7 linked regions of the Ovis aries genome follow. Each later gene encodes a partner of the first gene's protein in a complex. Links are inferred from orthologs where the notes say so. Each region holds a gene or a part of one and is shown in the gene's direction. Other genes may lie near its edges.

Evidence for each region.
Region 2: RBL2 (region 1) and MYBL2 share a complex: the UniProt entries of both Homo sapiens proteins name them as parts of the DREAM complex. The link is inferred for Ovis aries from reciprocal best matches to the Homo sapiens genes RBL2 and MYBL2.
Region 3: RBL2 (region 1) and LIN52 share a complex: the UniProt entries of both Homo sapiens proteins name them as parts of the DREAM complex. The link is inferred for Ovis aries from reciprocal best matches to the Homo sapiens genes RBL2 and LIN52.
Region 4: RBL2 (region 1) and LIN9 share a complex: the UniProt entries of both Homo sapiens proteins name them as parts of the DREAM complex. The link is inferred for Ovis aries from reciprocal best matches to the Homo sapiens genes RBL2 and LIN9.
Region 5: RBL2 (region 1) and E2F4 share a complex: the UniProt entries of both Homo sapiens proteins name them as parts of the DREAM complex. The link is inferred for Ovis aries from reciprocal best matches to the Homo sapiens genes RBL2 and E2F4.
Region 6: RBL2 (region 1) and MYBL1 share a complex: the UniProt entries of both Homo sapiens proteins name them as parts of the DREAM complex. The link is inferred for Ovis aries from reciprocal best matches to the Homo sapiens genes RBL2 and MYBL1.
Region 7: RBL2 (region 1) and TFDP2 share a complex: the UniProt entries of both Homo sapiens proteins name them as parts of the DREAM complex. The link is inferred for Ovis aries from reciprocal best matches to the Homo sapiens genes RBL2 and TFDP2.

What each region holds. Positions count from the first base shown.
Region 1 is NC_056067.1:21,291,454-21,295,466, forward strand, and holds the start of RBL2 (retinoblastoma-like protein 2), read left to right. Parts: upstream 1-1,213; 5' UTR 1,214-1,316; coding exon 1,317-1,556; intron 1,557-4,013. UniProt on the Homo sapiens protein: Key regulator of entry into cell division. Directly involved in heterochromatin formation by maintaining overall chromatin structure and, in particular, that of constitutive heterochromatin by stabilizing histone methylation.
Region 2 is NC_056066.1:72,197,189-72,201,247, forward strand, and holds the start of MYBL2 (myb-related protein B), read left to right. Parts: upstream 1-1,259; 5' UTR 1,260-1,290; coding exon of another isoform or gene 1,291-1,310; 5' UTR 1,311-1,599; coding exon 1,600-1,721; intron 1,722-4,059. UniProt on the Homo sapiens protein: Transcription factor involved in the regulation of cell survival, proliferation, and differentiation. Transactivates the expression of the CLU gene.
Region 3 is NC_056060.1:83,523,543-83,527,675, forward strand, and holds the start of LIN52 (protein lin-52 homolog), read left to right. Parts: upstream 1-1,333; 5' UTR 1,334-1,340; coding exon 1,341-1,371; intron 1,372-4,133. Other genes in the region: ALDH6A1 (methylmalonate-semialdehyde dehydrogenase [acylating], mitochondrial), read right to left, coding at 699-752.
Region 4 is NC_056065.1:28,558,550-28,562,049, reverse strand, and holds part of LIN9 (protein lin-9 homolog), read left to right. Parts: intron 1-84; coding exon 85-186; intron 187-3,348; coding exon 3,349-3,429; intron 3,430-3,500. UniProt on the Homo sapiens protein: Acts as a tumor suppressor. Inhibits DNA synthesis. Its ability to inhibit oncogenic transformation is mediated through its association with RB1. Plays a role in the expression of genes required for the G1/S transition.
Region 5 is NC_056067.1:34,395,858-34,400,041, forward strand, and holds the start of E2F4 (transcription factor E2F4), read left to right. Parts: upstream 1-1,384; 5' UTR 1,385-1,457; coding exon 1,458-1,592; intron 1,593-2,011; coding exon 2,012-2,121; intron 2,122-2,262; coding exon 2,263-2,424; intron 2,425-2,749; coding exon 2,750-2,793; intron 2,794-3,520; coding exon 3,521-3,582; intron 3,583-3,799; coding exon 3,800-4,097; intron 4,098-4,184. UniProt on the Homo sapiens protein: Transcription activator that binds DNA cooperatively with DP proteins through the E2 recognition site, 5'-TTTC[CG]CGC-3' found in the promoter region of a number of genes whose products are involved in cell cycle regulation or in DNA replication.
Region 6 is NC_056062.1:43,807,168-43,810,667, reverse strand, and holds part of MYBL1 (myb-related protein A), read left to right. Parts: intron 1-104; coding exon 105-176; intron 177-1,633; coding exon 1,634-1,726; intron 1,727-3,500. UniProt on the Homo sapiens protein: Transcription factor that specifically recognizes the sequence 5'-YAAC[GT]G-3'.
Region 7 is NC_056054.1:247,614,098-247,617,597, forward strand, and holds part of TFDP2 (transcription factor Dp-2), read left to right. Parts: intron 1-1,493; coding exon 1,494-1,599; intron 1,600-1,809; coding exon 1,810-1,993; 3' UTR 1,994-3,500. UniProt on the Homo sapiens protein: Can stimulate E2F-dependent transcription.

The sequences.
Region 1 (4,013 bases):
TTTATACTATCAGTTCAGTTCATTCGCTCAGTCATGTCTGACTCTTTGTGACCCCATGGACTGCAGCATGCCAGGCCTCCCTGTCCACCACCAACTCCTGGAGCTTACTCAAACTCATGTCCATTGAGTCAGTGATGCCATCCAACCATCTCATCCTCTGTTGTCCCCTTCTTCTCCTGCCTTCAATCTTTCCCAGTATCAGGATCTTTTCCAATGAGTCATCCCTTCTCATCAGATAGCCAAAGTATGGGAACTTCATCTTCAACATCAGTCCTTCCAATGAAAATTCAGGGTTGATTTCTTTTAGGATTGACTGGTTTGATCTCCTTGCAGTCCAACAGACTCTCAAGAGTCTTCTCCAACACCACAGTTCAAAAGCGTCAGTTCTTCGGTGCTCAGCTTTCTTTACGGTCCAAATCTCAAATCCATACATGACTACTGGAAATAGCTTTGACTAGATGGACTTTTGTTGCAAAATAATACTCCTACTTATTAATACTATACTCCTGTATAAACCAAAGCGGACTGGAAATAATGTGATTCATATAGATTTGAAGAGAAAGCAAAGAAAAATGAAGTTTTGAGAACAGAACAAATATGTCACTTAGGGGTAAATGTAAATTCACCCTATGGGGGGAAAATTAATTACTCCTTTAAAAAAATCAATCAATTTTTTGAAAGTCTCACATAAAATTAAAACACAGAAAAGGAGAATTCCCTGGCGGTCAACTGGTTAGGACTCTGCTTCCATTGAAAGGGGCGCTGGTTGAATCCCTGACCGGGGAAATAAGATATCACAAACCACTGCAGCTCGGACAAAAAATAAATATAGGAAAGAACTAGAATTTGTAAGAGTGATGCCAAAATTTGAATTTAGGCAGACAGGCCCTTTCTATTACCTTGGTTTTTCAGATTAGGACACGCAGGTGGTAAGTATTATTTCTGAGGACACTTTGAACACTAAACCTTCACGTGTCAACGTTTCTTAGATACTTTCTCTTCAGTACAATCCTGCTGAATGGGTCTCCCGATGAAGAGGTACTTGAAATGCAGAGAAGCCGGTTTTACCTCAGGCCAAGGGAGAGGACGCGAGATGACTTTTTTTAAATATGATTTTTGATCCCCGTGGGTCTCCGGCCTGGACTACATCTCCCACCAGGCCGTGCTCCGAACTACGGGTGCCGGCTTGAGGTCCAGCGCCGTTGGCGGCGGCGCAGTCGCCGAGAGGGCGGCCGACCGGCGGGCGCTTCGCGGTTTGAATGGCTGTGGGCCCGGGCCCTCGGCTCACCTGAGGACCTGCCGCACAGGTGTACGCTATGCCGTCGGGAGGCGACCAGTCGCCGCCGCCCCCGCCTCCCCCTCCGGCGGCGGCGGCCTCAGATGAGGAGGAGGAGGACGATGGCGAGGCGGAGGACGCCGCGCAGCCGGCCCGGTCGCCGGCCCCTCAGACCCAGCAGCGGTTTGACGAGCTGTGCAGCCGCCTGAACATGGACGAGGCGGCGCGGGCCGAGGCCTGGGAGAGCTACCGGAGCATGAGCGAGAGCTACACGCTGGAGGTGCGCCGGGGAAAGGAGACCAGCGGTTTTCGGGGCCTAGCGGTCCCGCCCCGCCGCGGGGGATGGGGGCCCTTCTCTCTCCGGCTCGGGAGCCCCGCGGGGGAGCTCCCCAGGTCAGCCCCGGCTCTCCCGGTCCCCAGCCTGGAGCGGGAAGGGAGTCCTTTCTGCCCACTTTCGTCCTGGAAACCTGGCTTTTGAAAAGCCCTTAGCTGTCCTAAAAGTGAACCCTGTCTCGGTGCTCTTCCCTCTCCGGTTCCGAAGGGGGAACAGCCTTTGCCCTGAATTAGCACCTCGAGGCTGAGGTCGTGCTGGGGTCTGATTACAAAAATACAGCCATCTGGTTGGCAGACTGAACAGGTGCAGTTGTCAGGACCGTACTCAAAAGGGATGGGGGTGTGGGGCTTGCCTGCGCTAGCACTGAAATTAACCCGATTTTAGCGTCTGCGTTTCCAGGCTTCTCCTCAAGTTCTTTGCAAGCTGTACCTAATTGCCTTTGGTCCAGGCATTGCCATTTGAGTAAATGCATTACGTTTCGGGCTGTGTTTGTGTATTTGTAAACAAAGAAGAATCTTCCCGTGAGCGGATGAAACGGGCTTTCTGCCTACCTGGATATAGACTCTTATCTGTCTCTAGGAAGTCAGGACTGCGGCGATCTTGAGGACTTATTGGTCACCCCAGACACTGCACAGGATTCTTAAGAGTCGCTGTCATCTGGACATGTTTTGTCCCTTTCTTCGGACGGGGCTTGCAATTAAGAAAAATGGCCATTCTAGCCAGTGAGGTTCAACTCTGTAGGCACCTCCCCTTTACGGGCCAATGGGAAGTGACACGGAAGTGTGTATTGTTTATCCGCTGTCTAACTGCCCCATGGGAGTGATATTTAAACTGCAAGCCATATGATTTTCTGAAGTTGTTTAATAGTTTGTGGAAAGAGTAGGGCAAATAGGCTCAGAATGGGAAGGCTAACAGATGTGTTTTAACTGTAATACGGTGTTTTTGCCTGTGTGGCACTCACTAAATTTATTCCTATTATTTCTTATTCTTGCATTAATATAATTTTAATTTAGTTACATCTAGAGTGGGGGAGGGTAGCTAGATATGTACTGGCTTTAGAACCTGACAGGCCTTGGTGACTTCGGGCAATTTACTTAACCACTCCAAACTCAGTTTTGTGATATGTCAATTTGAGGTATGTGTACCTACTTTACACAGCTGTTCTGAAGGTTAAGTAAGGTAATGTGGAATTTCTGGAGCGTAAAGCATTCATGGAGACTGCTTTAGAATTTACAAAGCTCTTTCACATGCTTAGGTGATATGACTGAATAGGTCAGGTCAGTTCAGTTCTGTTCAGTCACTCAGTTGTGTCCGACTCTTTGCGACCCCATCAATCGCAGCATGCCAGGCCTCCCTGTCCATCACCAACTCCGGAGTTCACTCATGTTATTGTTTATTTCCTAGTGGTTCCTGTGACAAAAGAGAAGGACTATTTTTGGTGATGGGCATAAGTGCCTCCAAATAAGCTCTTATTTTACCCTCAGGGTAACCTTGTAAATTAAATAGAAAAAGCATAATTATACACTTTTTATGTTTAACTCACAGTGGTTAAGTCATAGGAAGCCCGGGGTTATATAAACAAGTGACAAATAATAGATGGTTCAGTTCAGTTCAGTCGCTCAGTCGTGTCCGACTCTTTGCGACCCCATGAATCGCAGCACGCCAGGCTTCCCTGTCCGTCACCAACTCCCGGAGTTCACTCAGACTCACGTCCATCGAGTCAGTGATGCCATCCAGCCATCTCATCCTCTGTTGTCCCCTTCCCCTCCTGCCCCCCAATCCCACCCAGCACCAGTCTTTTTCCGATGAGTCAACTCTTTGCATGAGGTGGCCAAAGTACTGGAGTTTCAGCTTTAGCATCATTCCTTCCAATGAACACCCAGGACTGATCTCCTTTAGAATGGACTGGTTGGATCTCCTTGCAGTCCAAGGGACTCTCAAGAGTCTTCTCCAACGCCACAGTTCAAAAGCATCAATTCTTCGGCACTCAGCTTTCTTCACAGTCCAATTCTCACATCCATACATGACCATAGGAAAAACCATAGCCTTGACTAGACGGACCTTTGTTGGCAAAGTAATGTCTCTGCTTTTCAATATGCTGTAGGTTGGTCATAACTTTCCTTCCAAGGAGTAAGCATCTTTTAACTTCATGGCTGCAGTCACCATCTGCAGTGATTTTGGAGCCCCCAAAATAAAGTCTGCCACTGTTTCCACTGTTTCCCCATCTATCTCCCATGAAGTGATTGGGACCAGATGCCATGATCTTCATTTTCTGAATGTTGAGCTTTAAGTTAACTTTTTCACTCTCCTCTTTGACTTTGATCAAGAGGCTTTTTAGTTCCTCTTCACTTTCTGCCATAAGGGTGGTGTCATCTGCATATGTGAGGTTATTGATATTTCTCC
Region 2 (4,059 bases), on another chromosome or scaffold:
GAACTGAACTGAAACGAATTTAATGCAACCAATGAATTCTGGGCCTTGGGGATACTGCTGTGAATTGAGGGGCCCCTTGAACTTGACTTCCCTGGTGTCTCAGATGGTAAAGCGTCTGCCTGCAATACGGGAGACCCAGGTTCGATCCCTGGGTTAGGAAGATCTCCTGGAGAAGGAAATGGCAACCCACTCCAGTATTCCTGCTTGGAGAATCCCAGGGACAGAGGAGCCTGGTAGGCTACAGTCCATGGGGTCGCAAAGAGTCGGACACGACTGAGTGACTTCACTCACTTTGAACTTTAGCAAGCCCATAGTTCAAATCAGGACATGCATAAGTCAGCAAGTAGACTGTGGGCTGTGGGCTCTTAAAGGAGCAATAGGAACTAGTTCCGGTGGGAGAAGTGGGAAGTGTATCCGCCCCAGCAACGGCCAGGAGGCTGAAGAGTTTCCTCCCGCTAGGGGCGGGGTGGTGGTCTGGCAGACTGCTATAAACCTGATTGCAGAATATTTTACCCTGAGGGAGAGGACAGAGACTTTAAGTTCTGGAGAGGCAACATCAGGTTTGCTTTTTAGGAGGCTTGCTTTGGGCTGCCAGGAGTCCAGCTGAGGAGCTGGAGCCACTTGAGTTCAAGGCTGGAAAGGAAGAAGGGAGTGGTTTCCAAGTCTCAGCCCTGGCCTAGGTGTAGGTGAGGAGGCCGCTTTGGGGTGGGGGTGAGGGTGTAGGGACATAGGAGCTGCTTGGACTAGCGCTGGGCTCTTAGCACAGGTAGTTTCCCTCGGCCTCACTCTCCCACCCTTGCGGCTCATTCCCTTTTCTCAGTCTTCCCTCCTCCAGGCCTGCCCCAAGGCTCTCGGCCGGGCCTTGCCTCAGTCACCAGGTTGCGGGGTCAAAGCCGCGCCCACGAGCTCCCTGCCCTGGGAGCTTCGGTGCTGTGCCCTCGGGCCTTCAGGCCCCGCCCCGCGCGGCTCGCTGGCCCCGCCCCGAGCACGGCCCTCCCGCTGGCCCCGCCCCGCGTCGCTCGCTGGCCCCGCCCCGCGCACCAGCCCGCCCGCGCGCCTGGCCCGGGCGGCGCCGGCGCGCTTGGCGGGAGATAGAAAAGTGTTTCTGTGAGCGCCGGCGGCGGCCGCAGTCCCCGTGAGCAGCGGCCGGACCTGTGGTCACGCTGACGCCTCGCCACGCGGCCCCGGGGCCCGGAGCGGCCGGAGCAGCTCGCACCCTGACCCCGGCCCGGCTCCCGCTCCGGGCTCGGCCGGCGGGCGGGCGAGCGCGGCGCGGCCCGGGCCGGGGGGATGTCGCGGCGGACGCGCGGGTGAGCGGAGCCGGCCGGCGGAGGGCCCTTCCCCCCTCCCCAGGCGCCATCCTCCTCAGCCCCGACCCCCTCCCCGCACCGCCACCCTCGCCGGGGCTTTTCCGATCCCGGCCCGGCGCGGTTGGGGTCGGCGGAAAACTCAGGTGTCCCGCGTCGCCTGACGCGGGGAGGCGTCGAGGGTGCGCGCGAAGCCGGGGAGCTCTCGGGGGCTCCTCGCTCGGCACCCCCGGGCCTGCTGGGCCTCGGAGCTGGGGCGAGCGGGTCTCCTGGGACCCGGGCCAAGCCTTGTATGATGTCATTTTGTCTCCCGCCTAATTGCGGGGTGGGGGTGGGACGGTGGTGTCAGCTGGAAGGGCCTTTACCGGGGAGGGAGGCGACCCCTGGAGAAGAAAAATTATTTTCGAAGTCGCGGTGAGTGGGAGGCGAAAGCCTGGAAGACGCTTGTCTTTGGAGCCTTTTGGGGGGTCTGGTTTTGCCGGTGGGCATTTCTTAACATTCGGGGAAGCACGGAGCACTCCCGGCTCTCTCCCCTGACCTAGGAGGGTTGCTGGGGCCGGGAGGGACTTTTTGGTCCCTCACCACCTGGGCTCGGGGCCTTAGGTCGGTCTCGCTCCGGAGACCTTCTTCCTGTCCTACGCGCGGGGGTTGGGGCAGCTGGGGTTGAATGCAAGGGGAAGAGAGACTGATCTGTGCCAGCAACCCCTGGGGCGGAGGCAAGAACTGCAGTCTCCATTTTACTTATCCCCCAGAGTTTGAATGGCAGAGACAAGCCAGAAATCAGGTCTGTGGGTTCCATGTTCCTGTCTTACACCTGTTCCTTGAGTGTCTGAGTTCTAGGCTTTTCAACCAGTCTGGGAGTCACACTACAGAACCACAGGGGGTTCTGACCTGTTCCCTCCCAGGATTCCTGTATCCATACCAAATAGCCTGAAATATCTCGCTTCAGGTGATGTTTGCCTTCACAGGCTTCTCAGCAAGGAAACATCTGATCCCTGGGAAGTCATCAGGCACAGGGTGTGTCTTCCTCAGGCCATGGTTTCTCAGAGCAGCTCCAATTCCCAGGAGTTATTTTCTGGGCAGGCGCTGGTCAGGCCCTGAATTTCTGGTTCAGGAAGTGTTCACTCCAGGCAACAAACCCAAAGCCCCTGAAAACCCCCAGGTCTTCTACCATCTATGCCCTGGGGCTCAGTGGAAGAATCCCAGCTCCCAGGTGAGGGATGGGTTCTGCATCCTGGAACCCCACAGCATTCAGTTTGATTCTTGGCCACTTGCTGTAACTCTCTTCTGCACAGTGTCCTACTTCCTGCTCAGCTTCTGACTCACCCCAACTGGAGCAGAGCCCAGCACATGGAAGGGCATAGAAAGGGTGTGTGAGACCTCCACGTGGTTGCACTACTGACTTAGCCTCTGCTTTTCCTGCTGGGATTATCAGATGAGGACCTACAGGTGCAGGTTAACCCCTGCGAGCTTCGTGTGTGCGTGCTAAGTCGCTTCAGTTATGTCTGACTCTTTGCAACCTTATGGGCTGTAGCCTGCCAGATCCCTTTGTCCATGAGATTTTCCAGGCAGGAATACTGGAGAGGGTTGCCGTGCCCTCCAGAGGATCTGCCTGACCCAAGGATTGAACCTGTGTCTTTTATGTTTCCTGCATTGGCAGGCGGGTTCTTTACTGCTAGTGCCACCTGGGAGCTCAGTTTTCACATCTATTAAATGGGGATAATGAGAATGCCTGTGAAGCAGACAATCATTACTGTGATGGCGGTATAAGTATATTAAACCTCACGGAATTGTCCCAGCCGCAGTACTGTCCGCATTAAATAGAGTATTCAAGCTCCAGAGGGTGTTCACACAGAAATCACTTTGTCCTTGAAGGAACATTTGCTGAGCTTCTGTTAGAAGCTGGGTGTCAGAGAACCAAAGATAGTTTCTGTTAGAACAGAGGCCGGGGTCAGTTGATGTTAAAGCCACTTCTTTCTGTTATTAGTATCTTGTAGAATCTCCTATTTTGAAATGGTGGAGTACTCCATGAATTGGGTTGGGAATGACGAGACAAGGTTGAATTCCAGCTCTCATGACAGGTGTTGGTGGGTTTAGACAGCATCTGTCCCTTCCTTACCTCATTCTAAAAGTTGACTTATGTTAGCATTTCTGATCAACTAAGAGGCAGCAGCTTTGCATGTTTATCAGTCATTCATTCCTGTATCTGGCCATTTCCAGAGCAAACATTTCTTAAGGCATTTTGGTGCCATCCTCCAAAGGCAGATACGGAGGTGAAGGTGACCTCTGTCCCGGTTGTCAAGGAGATAGGCATTTGCAACCTAAGGGCCTATGTTATGAGACAGGAGGATTTCCAAGGCGCTCTGGGGAGTGTGGGAGTGACTAGGGAGATGCTGAGAAGGGGAAAGGAGGGTGGCTGCAGAAGGAAGTCCTCTTCCTTCTTTTGATACCTGACCTGTGCTTGGAGACTCATAGACTTTTCCTGCGTAAAAATGCATGCCTGAGGAATGTCCCTGACAGGTCCACCTGAGTTGGGAGGGTGCTCCAGTGAGTCCCAGACATCCCTGGGCGTGGATAGCGTGATCTTCATTTTTGTAAACATTATACCACGTAAATAGGAAGATGTTGGAGTGACTTAGAAAATTACTTATTAGAAAATAAAAACATTCAGAATTCAAAGTTGCTTGTACTCTGATTTTTTGCTCCATAAATTAGGCCTGTGTGAAGGCAAAGATTGAGAAGGGGTATGCAA
Region 3 (4,133 bases), on another chromosome or scaffold:
TTAATTCTTTGCACGTGCCTGGAACAAACTGGGATCATTAACTATGTGTCCTTATTCAACGCCAACAAAACACTGTAACTCTGCCAGAAAGTTAAACAAAGTCTTGGCAAGCAAAGGCACAACAGTCCACAGCCTGTGGAACATGCAAAGAGCCGTAGCTGGGGAAAACAGCTCAGCAAATGACTGCTTTTGGGAAAACGGAGTGAACATTCCGAGAAGGGGATTCAAAGTTCATTCACTGACCCTCGCCCCTCGTGTGCTTCCTGCCCCTCGCCCCCCGGCCTTTACCTCGGATTGCAAACCGTGAAGAAGGGTGGGGGAGGGGGACAATTTGGAGGTTCTCGGCCCAATGCTAAGAGAGGTGACCAGAAGGGGAGTTTCTAGGGCAGAGAGGTGGCTGGTGCAGAGGTGAAAGGGAAGACGTTGGGCAGACCGACAGAGGTGGGGCAAGAGAGTGTCGGCAGGGATCGGGCAAGCCTCGAAGAGGAGAGTGGGCCAGAGCCATAAAAGGGGGGAGGCTCAAGAATAAAAGGGCTAGGGCTGAATCCAACGAAGGCGGGTACTGAGTGAGGTGTGGGACAGGGCCGCACAGGTCCGATGGGCACAGAGAAGGGTCAGCCATGAAGGGGATGGCTCAGAGAGCGGATGGAAAGGACGAATTTCGAGCTTCGCAACCCCTTGGCGCTACCCTCACTCGCCTGGAGGATTCGGGCCCGCAATGCCGCCGCCGCCGCCGCCGCCACCACCGCCATGGCTCTGGGTTGCCTCTTCTCAGCCCCCGCACCTCTACGGTCTGAGACTGTCCAGAAGCTCTACTGCGGCCAGGCCTCGCCCCTCCATCCTGCCGCACCTCCTCACTGGCGGAAAGGACAATCTCCCCTAGCCAATTACTCGCCCTAACGCCTGACTCCGCCCCTCAGTCCCAGCCCTGGGGGAATATGATTGGTCAGAAGTGATAGCGTTCTCGCCCTGCGCTACCTCAACAAATTCTGTTGGCGGAGGGGTAGGGAAGGCACGGAGCGACTCGCGATGTTCTATATCGAGCACAGGAGGAAGACGCCCCCGAACCCGGAACTGCGATTGGCCAAAGGCACAACCGCGGCCCCGCCCACTCACTGAGGGAAGTAAATAAGTTCATGCAAGAATTTTTGCAGTAGCTCCGCCTCATCCACTGCGCGAGGGGAGATGTGGCTAGCACCGGGGGGCGGGCCTATGTAAAGATTGTCCCTATAGGGGCGGGGAGACGAACCCGGCTCCCGGGTTTGAGGGCAGGGTTTCTCTTTGGGGGCGTGGCTTACGGATCCAAGCTTTCCCGCCGACAGTTGGCCACGTCACGTGACATGGGTTGGAAGATGGCGTCTCCCACGGACGGTAAGAACCGGCTTAGAGACCTTTCGCCTGCTACATCCTTCTGCGCTCTCCTGGGAACTTCCGTTTCCATCTACCACTCGAATTTACATTTCTTTCATGGGCTCCTATCCTTTCCCTTCCACTTCTTTTCTAAGCGATGTGGCTGCTTCTTAAGCTCGCCGGTTCTTCACAGCGGCTCCAGAGGTGCCTGGTTTCTTCTCAGTGTACCAGGCAGATGGAGGAGGGCGCCCGCTAGGGACCTTTTCTGGGCAAAAGGACGAGGGTCGCCCTTGTCCTCCTTTAGCCTCATTTGGGTGAGACTGATGGCCGAGGAAGAGATACTGATGAGGAAAGGAGGCGCCTTAGTGTAGCTTTCTCCTCCGGGCGCCTCACTGAAAAAGGTCAGTTCTTTTCTCTTTGAGCATCTGGAACGATTTTTTGATTCTCTTAAGCGCTAGCTAGGGTTAGTGGCTGACCTCATCCTGGGATTGAACCACAAGAGAAAAGTAATTCTCTCCCGTCTCCTTAGATTGGGACCGTTGCCCTGGCAGCTACAGAAGCAGGAGACCCTCTCGGGTCCCTAACTGTGAGAGTCCCGAGGAAAATAGAACTGAGCTTTTTAGCGTAGTCATGTACACGTCTCTACCTCTCTTGTTTCTGCTTTATGAATTGTTTCTTAAGGCTGAGTGATTGAACGATTTCTGCTTATATGTTGTCGAAGATGCAACTCATCTCAGATAGCAATTGAGTGGTTTTGGTATACTCCCAGGCTTTTGCTCTCCGTTCTGTTTTAGGATTAAAGTTTTGCAGTCATTTCTGAACTGTTTTTGCTTCGACTATTCCATCTCCACGTCCATTTCACTGATATGTAGTTTTCTCTCCTTTTGTGTTTGGAAGGAATCTTGAAAGTTCATTTCAGGAATGAGGAACTTGTGGCCAGAAAAGCTATATTGAGATCCTGCTTTATGAAAGGCGTTTTACTAGGTGCATTGGGAGAGAAGAAGATTAATCAAACATGTAAACACTTTGGCAGTTTCAGGTCTCATTTAAATGTCACCTCCCAGAGAGGCTTTCACAGAGCACAGGAGCTGAGCTTGCCCCTCTTCACCACTCACTTTCTCAGTACCTTCATAGACAGAACAGTTTATTATGTCAAGTTTGCCCCTTTCAGTCCAGATTGAAAATTCCAAGTCTGTTTCATTGGTAGTTGGGTCTCAGGGCTTAACACAGTGCCTCGCCTACTGGCAAGCAGTAGGTCTTCAATTCATGTTTATTGAAAGAATGATTAGATATATGCTTAAATAATATTTTAAGGTTTTTGAGCATGGGTACATACTGTATGGGGCTCCCCTGGTGGCTCAGCAGTAAAGAATCTGCCTGCCAACGCAGGAGACATGGGTCCCTGAGTCAGGAAGATCCCCTGGAGAAGGAGATGGCAACACGCTCCAGTATTCTTGCCTGGGAGATCCCATGGACAGAGGAGCCTGGCAGGCTACCATCCATGGGGTCGCAAAGAGTTGGACATGATTTAGCTACTAAACAACGACAAGCAACCATATACTGTATAAGAAATTATGGGTATTGAAAGTCAAAAGAGATTCTTGATCCTGCCTGAGTGCTCTCTTGTTAAAAATGAAATGTCTTTTTCTTTTTTTTGGCCAGGAAAAAAATAAAGAGCATTTAAAAAGTTAGCCAAGGGAATGTGGAGTTGTTATTTATTTAATGGGTATAGACTTTCAGATAGGGAACATGAAAAAGTTGTAGCAATGGATGGTGATGATGGTTGCAAAGCGGTGTAAATGTACTTAATGCCCCTGAACTGTACACTTAATACTGGCTAAGATGGTATGTTTTATGTATATTTTACCACAGTTGGAAAAAAATCAACCAAGTGATAGAAGTAATGGCTATGAAAATTTTTAGTTTATAACTAAGTTGTCTTTATATTTTTGTTCCTTATATTTGATTTTCCCTGTCTTCTCTCAATTTCTTTTCCTTCCTTTGGCCAGGAAGAATATTGGAAATTTTTTTTTTTTCCTTTTGCCTTTTAACCATGTCCACTCTCACTCTATTTGCACACTTGACTTTAAAAGTTTTCATGCTCATCTTTTGCATAGCTTTATCCTTTTCCCTCTAATCTTTTTAATCTGACAAAAACAGGTTGAGCACTGTGAACTTAAATTTTGCATCTAAATAAATGTCTTATCCTAAAATATACTACTGCCTAGCTCTCTCACTTCTATTTTTAGAGTTCCACCTGTTTCTGTCTATAAGATTTAATTAAAATTATCTTGCTATGAAAAAAAGTTTAGATCTTTCCACTCTTTCTCTTTTCAATGCTTAATTTGCTGGGACCTCCTTGAAAAGAAGAAAATTGAAATCTAAAGTCATTTGTTACTTAATGTATGAGAATAACACAGTAGAGTCAAATTATACCCTAGACTGTGGTATCATAAGGTCATGCTTGTTGGTTATTGAATCGTACCCTCAATAAGTTTATTTTTGTTATGCTTGAACTTTCCATAAGTAGCATTCCTTGGAAGTTTGAAAATTGGGATTTTGTGTTTCACATATCTAGTTAAGGCAGTTTTTTAGAGTTTAGTTCTTTACCAATTAGAATGCCAATGGAAATTTCCTTAGAGTAAATAGATTGGTTCAGCTAACGTCCCTCTTCTCACAGCAGTACAGTAAAAAGGAAAGAAGAATAAAGGCAAAAATTTTTCTCCTTTTGATGAACACACTTAGGATTTACTCTTAACTTTCCTGTCTGTCATATAGCAGTG
Region 4 (3,500 bases), on another chromosome or scaffold:
ACTTCAATAAAATAAAGTTTTTAAAAATTAAAATGCTTCCTTTTGAAAGGTCAGTGGTTAAACGGTTCCCTTTTATTCCCATAGGATAATGATCCCTTATTAGGACAGTCACCTTGGAGAAGTAAAATTTCTGGCTCTGACACTGAAACGTTAGGTGGTTTTCCAGTAGAGTTCCTTATCCAAGTGGTAAGAATTGCTCTAAATATTTTGCTCATTTGTTAAAAAAGAATTCAATATCTTTTGTGTTATTAAAGTTGAAAATTTTCCTAGGACCAAATATTTTTATACTTTTTAAAATCATTGTGTTTTAAGAACTCTGTTATTTCCAACAAAGCTTGAAATTAAGTTATAACAGCCAGAAAAGACTTAGAGGTCTGTTTTTGTTGGGCTTTTCTTGGGTTTGGTTCTTATTATTTTGCTATGTTAAGGACTCTAGCATAAGTGTTCTAGCATACACTCTATGAAATTGAATGGTTAGCTGTTAATAAATTGTATAAATATAAAGGTTTTTATTTAGTAACCTCAGTAATCCTGCCATTATCAGTCACCTCAAAACTTACGGTGTGTTGGCCAGCTCTCTGGTTAGGAGGAACTTTAGTTTTTTTCTGAGACTACAAATAGCTATTCATTTGCTAAGTACTTAATGATTAGACACAAAGAAATCTGAAGCTAAAGCGAAACAAATAGCAATTATTATATACAACAGTTTTCCTGAATAGCCTAACTCTTAATATAATGAGCTGTTTGTTTTGAAAATTAGGTTGAATAAATTATTTAGTTTGACTCATAGTCTAATGATGTTTGATTTGTTTCTTTTCCTCTCCTTTTTCTTTTTTGAAAATAAAGCTGTTTGGCTTGGGATAGATAAAGTCTTTATAAATAAAAATGTTTATAACATAAGCCATTAAAATATTCAGTGTTACCTTTTACAATTAATGTTATTTTGAGGAAAAGTCTTGTCATTTGAATGGCATTTCTTATTCCTTAGTTATATGTTGTTAATTATCCTTGGACTACAGAATTACACCTTTTAACTTTCAAAGGTAGATTTTTTATATGAAAAATTTTAAATATGAAAAGAACCAAGGCTTATCATTTCACAACTAGGACACTTGTTTTTTAAAGACATTCTTTCTTTTATTAAATACTGGAAGTAAAAACAAAGCTGATATGTCATATTTGGGCAAGGGGTAGAGGGAGATGGGGAAGGAGGGTGAAGAGGCAGAGGAGTGGGGAGCAAGAGGTCTACCAGCAGAGGGAGTCAGAAGCCAAAGACTAATACACTACTTCTAAAGGATTGATGTTTTTATTGCTGCTTAGATGTTTTGATTGCAGTGCTTAATTTTAACTTCAAAATCTATGTGTAATGCCTAGTTGAAACACTGCTTTCATTATTTTAAGCTTTCTAGCAGGTAAAAATAAAAGCCCGTTTATGTACTTGTCTTTTGTAATATCTAAAGTTTTACGAAACTCAGGTTTGCTTTTGTCGAGCTGTAAGATATGTTTTTGTCTTTGTTACTATTTTTTCTTATGACAAAATAAACATCATTTTTTGCTAGTTTCATAATTCATAGTTCGCAATGAATTTTTTTTCTTGGGGTTAGGGATTTTGAGGAATCTAAAAAGACTGACCAACCCTCTCTAAGAGAGGACTCAGTTTTGAAAAGAATGAGAAGGAAACAGCATGATTTTCTATCAAAAACTAACAAGAAACACAAAACTGAAAGAAACTAAAAATGGGAGAAAGATGTTGCCTTCATCCATTTTTTACTGTTCCTTACTCAGTAGAATCACACAGTTTTCCATAAAACCCAACAACTAAAGACAGGAGACCAGTCCAGAGCTCTGGACCTAAACTAATAAGGGTCAGTGTGAGCAAGTATATGACATATCTTACCGGGCCCTCCCTCTACCTGTATCAACTTAGGTCAGTTTTTTTATTTTTATTTTTTTAATTATCAAAAATTTAGTACATATGAAAGCAGGCAGTTGTATAATGTATCTCTCTGAACCCATTTTCTAGCTATAGCAGTTATCAAAAACTCCTGGCCATTTCTATTTCATATATACTCCTACCCTTTTTCTCTCTTTTGAGACATTAAACATCATATCATTTATCTGTAAATATTTTGTTTATGTATCTTTAAGTGGTAAGGGCCCTTTTTTTAAAAAAAAAAGACATAACTGTAATATTATTATTACATCTAAAAAGTTAATAAAAACATGTCTTAATATCAACACATATCCAGTCAGCATTCCAGTTGTCTAGTTGGCTCTTAAATATTGGCTCTTCTTTTCTCCCGTTAACCTCTTTGTTGAATAAACTGTATTATTTGTTCATGGAGTCTCCCACTGTCTGGATTTTGCTGACTGAGTTTGTAATAACATCCAGTATACTCTTCTGTCTTTGTACTTCATGTAAATTGCTCATTGAATATAAAGGTTTGATTTGATTTGGGTTTTTCATTTGATTGGTATAGTTGTTTTTATATGACTACTTTTATGCATACTTTTGTATTCTGATAGGATGTGTAGTAGTAGTGCTCAGCCATGTGCAACTCTTTGCGACTGTGGGCTATAGTCCACCGGGCTCCTCTGTCCATGGAATTTTCCAGGCAGGAATACTGGAGTGGGTTGTCATTTCCTACTCCAGGGGATCTTCCCAAAGCGGAAATCAAACGCACATCTCTTGTGTCTCCTGCATTGGCAGGCGGTTTCTTTACCACTAGTTCCACCTGGAAAGCCCTGATAGGATACCCCTATTTTTTATCTCTTTTTAAATATATTGTTAGCTGCTACAAATTATCAATGCCTAGATCCATTCATTCGTTAGGATTGCAAAATGGTGCCATTCTTGTTCTTTGTGTATTAGCTGAAATCATTTTGTGAGGAAAAACCCCCAAATCTACTATTTGGTTACCTAATGGCATAGTTTGTATAGGAAAGGCAGGATAAATGCTTGATTTGTTGGCTTTGTTTTCCAGTTGATGAGTTTGGTTACTAGTGTTCTCCAACAGTGGTTAATTTTGTTGAGTATCGGTCTGAATGCATGGATTTTAACCTATTTGTGCTTTAATTAATTATAGTTATTATTCTGATTGGTCCACACGTTGTTCCAGTGAAAACTTGTTCAGGTTGACTTCTTACTCGTTTTGATGTACCTGCTTACAGTGGATTTTAAAATATCTTCCTCTCACCCAGTCAGATTTCTAAAATAGTGTCTGTGCTATATTTATATTGAAACACATCTGCTAAAATATCTTAGTGGAAACTTACAAGTTTGATGTCTACCTGGTATATTTAAGTGCCTCTCTTTATTCCAAAACATCTCTTTTTCATTGTCTGTAGACCAGACTATCAAAAATTCTCATGATTAAAAAGGAGCATATCAAGAAATTAAGGGAAATGAACACAGAAGCAGAAAAACTGGTAAGGATTTTTTTTTTTGTTTACTTGTCTCATTTTCAAATGGTGGGGGCTTCTATATTTAAGGGTTGAAA
Region 5 (4,184 bases), about 13 Mb from region 1:
GGCCCCAACCTGGGTGGAGAGGAAGGTGTGCTGATATGGATGCAGACAACATCACAGTGTGAAAACTGTGTTGACAGGCCCTTAGAGGCAGGTATGCCTCTGCAGAGGAGCAAGAGACCATAGGCTATTGTGAGGAGGGTGTGTGGCGGGAGATGGCAGAGAGGGGTGGAAGAGCTATGAAAGCTTGTTTGTCTTGGAGATAAAAGGAGCCATGAAAGGGACTGGTGCTGCTGCTTAGCTGCTTCAGTCGTGTCTCTGTGCCACTCTATGGACTGGAGCCCATCAGGCTCCTCTCTCCATGGGGTTTTCTAGGCAAGAATACTGGAGTGAGTTGCCATGCCCTCCTCCAGTGGAACTGACTACTAGGTAGTAATAATGCTGTGGACACTGGCTACCACCCAAATCCACCCTTCAGGACAAAGACACTCATTCCCCTAGCTGCCCGAAATGTAGGCTAATGAGGTCTCAGATCTGAGTCTCTTGGTCAGTGTTAGGGTATAAGGGCCAGGTAGGCCTTGGAAGGGGTACCCCAGTTTCAGTGCTCCTAGAAGGACAGAGCCCTCCATTTTAACTTCCTCACAGTTTAATTCTCCTCTCTGCCCTGTTTGGCCTGTCTTATTTCCTTACAAGTGTGGCTTCTCAGTAAACTTCCTGCTGGCACATCTCTTTCTCAAAGACTGTTTTCCAAAGAACTTGACCTAAAATAAACTATAATAAATGATAGTGTTAAAAATAACAAAATGATACTAGCAAACACATAATCCTTCCACATGCCAGAAACTGCTCTAAGGGCTTTACATATATTTACACATGGGTAAATATGTTTGCATCGGTTGAAAAGTGGTTTTAATCCCATGGCCTCTGAGCACTGTAGTGTGGAGACAAGAGAAAGGCGAGGCTGGGATCAGGGGAAGAAAGTGGGGATGCAGACAGGTGAATAAGCTAGATGTAGTTAGTGCTTGCTGTTTGGCAGGAACTGAAGGACAGGAATAAGGAGGGTAGGTGATCCCAAGAGAGTGGGGCAGTCTTTTAGGAGCAGGTTTGGGAAAACACATTGGGTTCATCAGGCAGCAGGGTCTCCTCTCCTGAGATGAGGGTTGGGGCACAGTTAGTCGAGTTGGGTCAGGTTTGCCAGCCAGGAAGGTTCCAGTGATTCCTCCTTACTGCTCCTGAGGCTACCCAACGACTTCCTCCACATGCTTCCTCGACCACATCTGTCTTCCGGGATCCTGGGGTTATTTTCGTCCTCTTCGGCGGTTGGACATTTGATGATGGTCCCTCAAGTTTTTCGGCCATGTCTGCTGAGAGGAATTGTGACGGACTCCCTGGAAGGGAACGAAGCGGAAGCGGAAGTAGCGAGGCTGGCGCCGGCGGCCGAGCAGCCAGGAACGGAAGCGGAAGTGGCGGCGGCGCCGGCCTGGCCTGGCCTGGCTGAGGGGAGGCGGCGGGCGGGCGCGATGGCGGAGGCCGGGCCACAGGCGCCGCCGCCCCCAGGCACCCCAAGCCGGCACGAGAAGAGCTTGGGACTTCTCACTACCAAGTTCGTGTCGCTTCTGCAGGAAGCCAAGGACGGTGTGCTTGACCTCAAGCTGGTGCGGCCCGGGCTAAGGGACGACAGGGGGATGGTGGACCAGGCCTGAGCCGGTAGAGGGAACCCCCGGGGCGGCCCAGCTGAGCCCTCAGAGCAGGCCGCCATACATGTGCTTCTCACAAGCGGGAGGCCGGGAGCTGTTTCATTCATTCGGCTAAGGCTGTTCATCGGATGTCAGCTTTGTGGCAAGCTTGAGGCTGCGGGTGGTAGTCCTCGTGGCCCTTTCCAGCAGGTGTGGGGAAAAGAGCATCGGAACATCAGCTCAGGCTTCGTCTGGCCTCTTCCCGCCCCACAGTCCTGAGCTGCTGTAGTGCCTGGGGAGGAGGGCTAGAATTCAGGCCACCCCCTTTCCAGACTACTCCAGACCGAGTCCCCCGTGAGAGTGGGACTGAGCATTTTCCATTCTCTTCTCCTTGCCAGGCAGCTGACACCCTAGCTGTGCGCCAGAAGCGGCGGATATATGACATTACTAACGTGCTGGAAGGTATCGGGTTGATTGAGAAAAAATCCAAGAATAGCATCCAGTGGAAGTGAGTGGGGGCACCGGGGTCGGCAATGGTATCTCCTACCCAGAAGTGTCAGGAGTGTGGGGTGGAGGGTGGCAGAGAGAACAGGGGCTGTAGGACCCAGAGTGCCAGGCAGTCCCTCTTAGCTCTCCTTCCTGGATTCAGGGGTGTGGGTCCTGGCTGCAATACCCGGGAGATTGCGGACAAGCTGATTGAGCTCAAGGCAGAGATCGAGGAGCTGCAGCAGCGGGAGCAAGAACTAGACCAGCACAAGGTGTGGGTGCAGCAGAGCATCCGGAACGTCACAGAGGACGTGCAGAACAGCTGATATCCTCTTATCGGCGGTCCTGGCTCCCGGGGAGTGGGCGATGGGCCCTCTAGTCCAGCTGGGTGTGCTCTGTGTCCCCTAGTCTCTGTCCCACTTGGGAGGATGGTCCTCCAGCTCCTGGCCAGGTTTCAGCCTCCGGTTCCCTCCTCGGAGCCTCTCCACCCACAGTCTTGGCCTGTGATCCCTCCCCCATGTAGACCCCAGGCCTCAGGGCTTCTCTTTGTGAGCATGTATGTCAGACCTCTGCTGCAAAGCTGGGTCTTCGCTGTGTCAGTTATCTGTCACCATAGGCAGGGCATCAGCCATTCTCCTTAACCCCCACACCTTGGCCTACGTGACTCATGAGGACATCTGCAGATGCTTTGCTGGTGAGCAGAGCCTGGGTAGGGGGAAATGGGGGTGGGACTGGGCTGAGCCACAGCCCTGAGCAGTGGACTCGGTGCTTGAGAGATTTCCGTCTCTTAAGAGGGTTCCTGGGGCCTGCTCAAAGAAGAACCAGACAGGGTAAGGCCTAGATTTGAGGATCTCTGGGACCCTATGGAGGCTCACCATGCTGAGAGGGTACAGGAAGCCTGGACTGGGTCTCTGGGTCAGCCACCACCTGCATCGCCCCCTAGGTTTGGCTTCTCAGGTGTGACAGAAGCATACGAGGGGAGAAAGTGTGTGTGCCTGTTTGTATATGCTTGTGTGCAGGGGGCAGTGGTACCCACTTCCAACCTGTAGTTTAGTTGCACTGTAGGTACAGGAACTCTTCCTCGTCCATCTTGCATCTCCCAGGCTGGTTCTGGGGAAGAGCTGTTGGCCTTGGCCAGAACATCTTTGCCTAGGGAGCAGCCCCATCAATTGAATGAGGTGCCCATGGCCACTAATCTCTTGCTCCACATATCTGAACCCAGATTTTCTGGTTACTGACCTTTGGGTTCTTAGGAGAGAAAAAGCTTTAGTTTTCTCCCCCAGCCTCAATAGGGAGTGAGTGAAGCCTACTGTCCGCCCCCTCCGGGACTATGACGTCCTTCCTTGTTCTGAGGGATAGGCACCCCATTCCCAGTTCAAATTGAGCCCATGGGCCTTGATCCATCGTCTTTGTCATCCTAGGAGACACTCTCCTTGCCATCCGGGCCCCGTCGGGCACCAGCCTGGAGGTGCCCATCCCAGAGGTGGGTGCTCAGCCCAGCCGGGTGGGGTGGATTGAGGGCGGGTGCTGGCTGTGGAGCCCGATAAGTCCCGGGTGGGGCAGGTAAGGGGAGGCCTAGGGTTTGAAGTTATCTAGGGGAACGGGCAGCCCAGGGTGGGAGAGGATACTGGCCCTGGCCCAGGGTCAGGCAGGAGCCAAATCTGCTTCCAATTCCACCTGTCCTCCACCCCCACATTCAGGGCCTCAATGGGCAGAAGAAGTACCAGATTCACCTGAAGAGTGTAAGTGGCCCCATTGAGGTGCTTCTGGTGAACAAGGAGGCATGGAGCTCACCACCTGTGGCGGTTCCTGTGCCCCCACCCGAAGACCTGCTCCAGAGCCCGCCTGCTGTCTCTACCCCTCCGCTTCTGCCCAAGCCTGCCCTGGCCCAGCCCCAGGATGCCTCACGCCCGAGCAGTCCCCAGGCAACCACCCCCAACCCTGTCCCCAGCAGCACCGAGGCCCAGGGGGTGGCTGGTCCAGCAGCTGAGATTACAGGTGAGACACAAGGGGTATGTGGTAATGAGGGACTTCGGGGACCCAAGAAGCAATGTTTCTGTGTGACGAGATGAAATACTGAGAGTT
Region 6 (3,500 bases), on another chromosome or scaffold:
AAAATGGCCACCAGATATGACGTGAAAGAATTGGACAGTATATTCAGGAATAGGGGAATAGGGTGAGGGAAAGCTTTTTCATTTCCATAAACCTGTCTTAATAGGATGACAAGTTAAAGAAGTTGGTTGAACAACATGGAACTGATGATTGGACTCTGATTGCTCGTCATCTTCAAGTAAGTGAAACACTATCTCATACTGCTAACGCAAATGATTTAGGCCATGGGGTTACAGTTGCTGTTTTTCAGAAATGTGTCTACGTTATTTTAGATTTAGGTTCCCATCCTAAAAATAACTGTTTTGTTCTGCTCTTCCTACAGTTGGAAACTTAGAAAGTCTGGGTTTTCTTTTTTAGTAATTAATTTATCTGGGGATCTAAAAAGATGACTGACATAAAGAGAGGACAGACCTAAAAAAGATGGCTGACTTAAAGCAAAAATTATACGAAGTTTGGATAGGGCTTTATAAATATTTGCTAATCAATGTTAAAACATTTTGAGAGAAGTTAAATCTATTGAAATAGTTTGGTAACTAATGAAACCAGAAGAAGCTATGTTGCTGTGAGAATTAGAAGTAACATATAGGATGTTTGGCACAGTGCCTTACATTTAGCACATGTTCAATAAATAGAATCTAAATTAGAAAAGCTGCTTACATTAGCTTTATCAGTTTAACTTCAGTGGTATAACAGCAAATGTAGTCAACAGAGAAATGCTACAAGGATGTACAAGAACAACCTGATTATTTTGAGAAAATGATAACCTTAAAGTGAATCAGCATTGATGTACCGAAGCTATACATGAAAACACTCAGTATGAATAAAAACAAGTCCGCTAGGCATCAGGAGAGAGCTGTGGTTAAATACAGTATTTCTATTTATGTCATTCAAAATTATCTGTAATCCTGTATATGAACTAATATCTTCAGAAACCAAATCACTAAAGGAAAAGTTGTGTTAGTAGTATTATCCTTGTAATACACAGGAGTTACTAAGTCATGAATTGACTAAAAATAAGGCTACACTTATTAATCATTTTTCGAGTTTGACATGTTTCTACATAAGGCTTTACCCTGGTAAATTTCATTTTCCTTTTGAACTTCAGTGCTTAAATATTTAACTGATATATAATGTATATCAATCTGGATATACTTATTTTTTCTTGATAACTTGGAGTTATCATTTATAAACATCCTTTAAATACCATGCAGTAGTCTAGTAATGCCTTTTGGGTGTTTTTTGAATTGTGTAGAGTTAGGTACTGCTATACTCTATGAGTCCAGGCTGCTATGCTGCTTGAGTTTGTACGTCTGTATTGTTTAGTTGTCTGTTTACTCCCTTTTATTCATCAGTACATTTCTTTATGTTAGTATCTGTGTTATTTTGCTTTTTTGCTTGTGTTATCAGGCAGGGTATAGAGATAAATAATTTTAATTTCAAATATATAATTTTTATTTATACTCTAAGCAATGCTGACAACTTTAATTAAAAATGAATTGGGATACAGGCATATAAAATAAATATTTCATTTTTAGAGAATGCTATTGAATGTATTAGTCCTGGAAACTTTCTTCTTAAGGTTGTGAAAGTTTGGAAGACAGTTGTTCATTAACAAAATCATCTAAATTCTTTCAGAATCGTTCTGATTTTCAATGCCAACATCGGTGGCAGAAAGTTTTAAATCCAGAATTGATAAAGGGTCCCTGGACTAAAGAAGAAGATCAGAGGGTAACGTGTTCATATTCTTTATTTTCACTGTGTAGGTGGACTTGCTTTTTTTCTTACTAATACATTGTTTTTGGGTAACATAAATACATGTTTAAATCACCTGGATTTGTTCTCTGAGTACTGCTTGTACTAGAATTGAAAATTGAGTATTTTGAGATGTAGTTTTTTCAGAATTGAGTCAAACCAAGTATAATATAATATAGCTTTTGCTGGCTGAAAGTTTGGTTTGTAGAATAAAAAATACTGTCAGCTTAGTCACCATTTTAGAGCTTAGGTTAGCGACATTTAGGGCATAGTTTCTTACTGAAAATTGAGTTAGCATTTTTAAAACAATTCAATTGTATTCTTATTTTATCTGAAAACTTGAGGTATAAGAAGTTATTCTTTAACTTTCCCTCTTAACCTAAAATGGGCTCCCACATAAGACAGATATCTTATCATCGTGTTCCCAGAGAGCTAGAGGATTCAAAACCAAGGTAATTCTTTGTTATGAAAGTATGAGAAGAATGGGAAAGTTACTGTCGTCTTCTGAGAATTACCCTTTAGTTCATGCTCTTCATGGCATCATCTTATTAATGTAGTTGGAAAATTAGAGCATTTTTACTGCCACTCAAAAAAAAAAAAAAATTGGCCAGTGGTAAGTTTTAAAATGTGTGATTTGTATCCTTTCAGTTTGAGAAAGAAAGTAATGAATAGACAGTAACTATAAATCTTTCCTGCTTCCAAAATGATTTATTTGGCTTTCTGCTGAAGCATTAAAAAAAATGCAAGAGTAGAAAATCTTAAAGTCTCAACATTTTACTGTTATTTCATATTAATTTTGTATGAAACAATTTAATTTACAGGTCACTTTAATACCTTGTATTTAGATAAGTGTGGGATCAATTTTTTGAACTTGGCAAATGCTGAAGGAATATTTTTAGTAAAATTGTTTTTTTAATTATACTTGTGGTTTGGATTTAATGCATTTAAAATAGCATTCTTGAGTTATGTTTTAAGATTCTATCAAGGTAGTGCTTTTTAAAAATTGAGATATATGGGACTTCCCTGGCTATCTAGTGGTTGAGACTCCACATTCCCAATGCGTGGGGCACTGGTTTGATCCCTGGTTGGGTAGCTAAGATCCTATATGCCATGGGGGGTGGCCTAAAACAATAGATAAATAAAAATTGGGATATAATTATATATTAGTTCCTGGAGAAGGAAATGGCAACCCACTCCAGTATTCTTGCCTGGAAAATCCTGCAGTTGGAGGAGCCTAGCAGGCTACAGTCCATGGGGTCGCAAAGAGTGGGACATGACTCAGTGACTTCACTTTCACTTATATATTAGTTTCAGATGTACAACATAATATGTGTATTATGACAGTCAGTTCAGTTGCTCAGTTGTGTCCGACTCTTTAAGACCTCATGGACTGCAGCACACCAGGCTTCCCTGTCCATCACCAACTCCTGGAGCCTACTCAAACTCATGTCCATCGTGTCAGTGATGCCATCCAACCATCTCATCCTCTTTCGTTCCTTTCTCTTCTCACCTTCAGTCTTTCCCAGCATCAGGGTCTTTTCTAGTGAGTTGGCTCTTTGCATCAGGTGGGCAAAGTATTGGAATTTCAGCTTCAGTCCTTCCAGTGAATATTCAGGGTTGATTTCCTTTAGGATGGACTGGTTGGATCTCCTTACAGTCCAAGGGACTCTCAAGAGTCTTCTCCAACACCACACAGTTCAAAGCATCAATTTTTTGATGTTCAACTTTATGGTCCAACTCTCATATCCAT
Region 7 (3,500 bases), on another chromosome or scaffold:
CAGGATGGCTCTTGAAGGTTGTGAGAACTGTTGTGTGGGTCGGCCTTTCAGAGCCATTGTGAAAGGAAAACATATCCTGTCAAGAGCTGTGTTCTGACAGAAGGTTTCCATACATACTAATTAATAATACTTAGCACAGGATTCTGGCTTTAACTTCATATACCAACTTGTTCTTATTGTATCCATTTAAAACCTGCTGTTCTTAGAATTTTTTTCCCCCCTCATAGCTGCTTTAGTTAGCCTGTGAAGAAAAGGTTCATAGGCCATGTTAAGATGACCTATGCTTGGTCTCATCTTACAACATAAGTCAAATTCATTTCAAGAAATTCATTTCTGATATTTCTGCCCACCTGTGTTGTAAACTCACCTTTGAAATACACGATGCTAATTCATTAACATTTAGATTTTATTTGTCCCAGTCACTGCCTTCTCTAACAGTCTAGATAAGGAGACAAGGGTTAAATAAGTTACAGGGCCTCCCTGGCGGCCCACTGGTAAAGAATCTGCCTGCCAATGCAGGAAACACGGGTTCCATCCCTGATGCGGAAAAATCCCACAAGCGAGGGAGCGTAAGCCCATGTGCCACAGCTACCGAGCCTGTGCTCCAGAGCCCGGAACCACAGCTGCCAAAGCCCGTGTGCCCTAGAGCCTGTGCTCCGCGGCAGGGGAAGCCACAGCAGTGAGAAGCCTGTGCACAGCAATTACAGAGCAGCCCCCTTGCCACAACTAGAAAAAAGCCTGTGCAGCAGCGAAGACCCGGCACAGCCATAAATAAATAATAAAGTTACAATAAGAATTAGGCAGGGTTGTGATGGGAGAAATATGGTAAATTGCATAGAAAACAGGACCGCAAGGATGTATCTGCACAGTATTTGATGCAGACTGAAACAGCAGTGCGCTCACGAAAAATGTGACTGTGCAAAGCCTTTTAAAGTAAGGTTTAGTTCAAGTTTTAAAGCAAAGGATACCAAGAAAAAGAATAAATCTTGGTCAGTAATAGCACTGAGTTCCCAGGGGGTACTTGAAACCATGGCAGGGGGTATAGGGGGTTGAGCAAGAATGTCTGTCCCTCTGACATAGGGTGTTCTGACTTAACTGTCTGCTTATCCACTCCTGCTCTGGTTGTTAACACCCCAGCCAGAGGCTTTTGTGGTGCATCCAGCGGGTGTCCAACAGTAGTGCAACCATCAATATGTTCATGTGGGATGCCCTCTCAAGGGCTTCTGCAAGAAAAAAAGAATGAAGACTCTGGGATTGGTCTGATTTGAATTCTTTCCGGCTGTAGTCTGTCTCCCTGAATCCTCCCCCTTGCTCCACTCTTATGTTCTAGAAATTTCCTTTTTGCAAGCTGAAGAAACCTGGGTTCTCCCCAGGGCAGGAGACTGTAGCTTAGAATGGGCTGCTTGCCTCCTTCGTCTGTGCTCTCTGCAGGCCATAGCAAAAGCAGCCACGGGACTTACCAGGCCTCCATCTGTTTTTGTTTTTTCCTGTAGACATCTCCACAGGACCATCTTGGTTAAATCAGGGACTGCTTTTGAACTCTACCCAATCCGTTTCAAATTTAGACCTGACCACCGGTGCCACCTTGTCCCAATCAAGGTATGTACTTTCTCAGGGTTAAAAAGGTTAGCCTCCAAGCCTGCTCCTCACTGGAGGGGAGCCCCATGTGCCTCTATCAGCTGGGTCTCCTGCGGATCCCGGCAGAGCTCGCCTGTGGCCCTCCCTTTCCTGGGCTCTCATCCTTTATGTTTTCCAAAGCTTAAAGGCTGCACACATTAACCAGCCTGTGTGTTTCCGATTGTTTGCTAGTGTAAACCAAGGGTTGTGCCTGGATGCTGAAGTGGCCTTAGCAACGGGGCAGCTCCTTGCCCCAAACAGTCACCAGTCCAGCAGTGCGGCCTCTCACTGCTCTGAGTCCCGAGGCGAAACGCCCTGTTCATTCAACGATGAAGACGAGGAAGAGGACGAGGAGGACTCATCCTCCCCAGAATAAAGACAGGCGCAAACCCGCGTTTTGCTGTCTGATGCTCATGTGTGTTTTTAGTGTGAGCTCTTGTTTTTGAAACGACTGCTTCAGTCTTTGCCTTTGTTTGCACTGTGTGTTCAGTGAAAACTAGGGAAACACAATAAGCAAATTACCCGAAGGCTGAGATGGTTGAGATGAACGCTAACGTAGTGCGAATGAAAGCTCTGATCAGCAGAGCAGTAGATCACTTGGCGAGCAACGCCTGTTCTCTGAGGTGGCGGAGGGGGCCGTCCCCGAGGAACGGGCGGCGTGCACGCCACACACTTCCCTTCCGCGAGGCGGGGCCACTGCGGCCCCCGCGGCCACCCACCCCCTCTTAGAACTGAGATGGCTACACGAACAGCCCCTGCTGGTCTGGGTCCCTCGTCCCGCTCCCTGGCCTGGGCTGCCCTTTCCCTAGGCTGACCAACCACAAGAGGTTCCCGGTGGGCTGTGCAGTGAGTGAGGGAGACCACGGGGCCCCAGGAGCACAGATGGAACCGCTGAACTAGTTGAAAGTCTAGTCGAGGTGCTTTACGCATCAGCTGCCTTAGACGGCTTCTAGAAAGGAGCGAGCGCTAATTCTGAAGTACTTAAGTGACATTTAGAATAATTTATAGTCCAACTGAAATTATCACCCTTAGCCAATGCATTGGTGCATAGAATTTTCTAGGGCTACTTCTGGAAGCCAGAATAGAATAGCATTTTCACGTGCATTAAATACTTTGCCAGCACTGCCTTTTGCCAGCATCCTAAATCTGGAGTGTTACAGAGCAGGAAATTATCTCTGTGGTTTTAATCAGAGCTATGCGTTTCCTACAGCTTTTTCACTTAGCACAAAACAAAGAAACATGTCCCTATGACCGAACTGCTTGCTTACTGTTCCCTGCAAGTAATTGTATGATTTCACCCAGTGTGCAATTTGTGAAAGTGAACTGCCATTACTGTTGTCTGAAAAGGCGTTCAAGAATATGAACAAGCAGTGTTTTCCTGTACATGTCACCTTCTCTACATTCTCATGAATCAAAATGACCATCCTGGATTGATTCCTGGGTGAAACGCATTTCAAACTAACCTGATAGTTTCACAGAAACACCAGAAAATGGTGAGCACCCCAGGACTGGGCGTGCAGTGGAGCAGGATGTAGACTGTCGTGACAGAGCCAAAGACGCCACTGGGAACGGCACGTGCTGGGCTCAGTTACCGCCCCTCTGAATACGGGTGTGGAGACAGCTGCAACCATGGCCAGACCCCAGCTTAAGTGCACATTAAGGCCTTGGAAAGGAGCAAGTGATACTGGACAGTTAACTCCAGTCCTTTGACTTGACTTGTTTGTATTTGCCCTTAAATTATGCATCCAGTTACTGTGAGCTCAGCCCACCGATTCTTTTCTAAATCCTGCCGGGGGAGCGCGCAGGCCAATGCCTGCAGTGACTAGAGGGGCAGGGCCTCCCTGACCCAAACAGCTAGTACAGAAGGATGTAGAGCGTTAAGT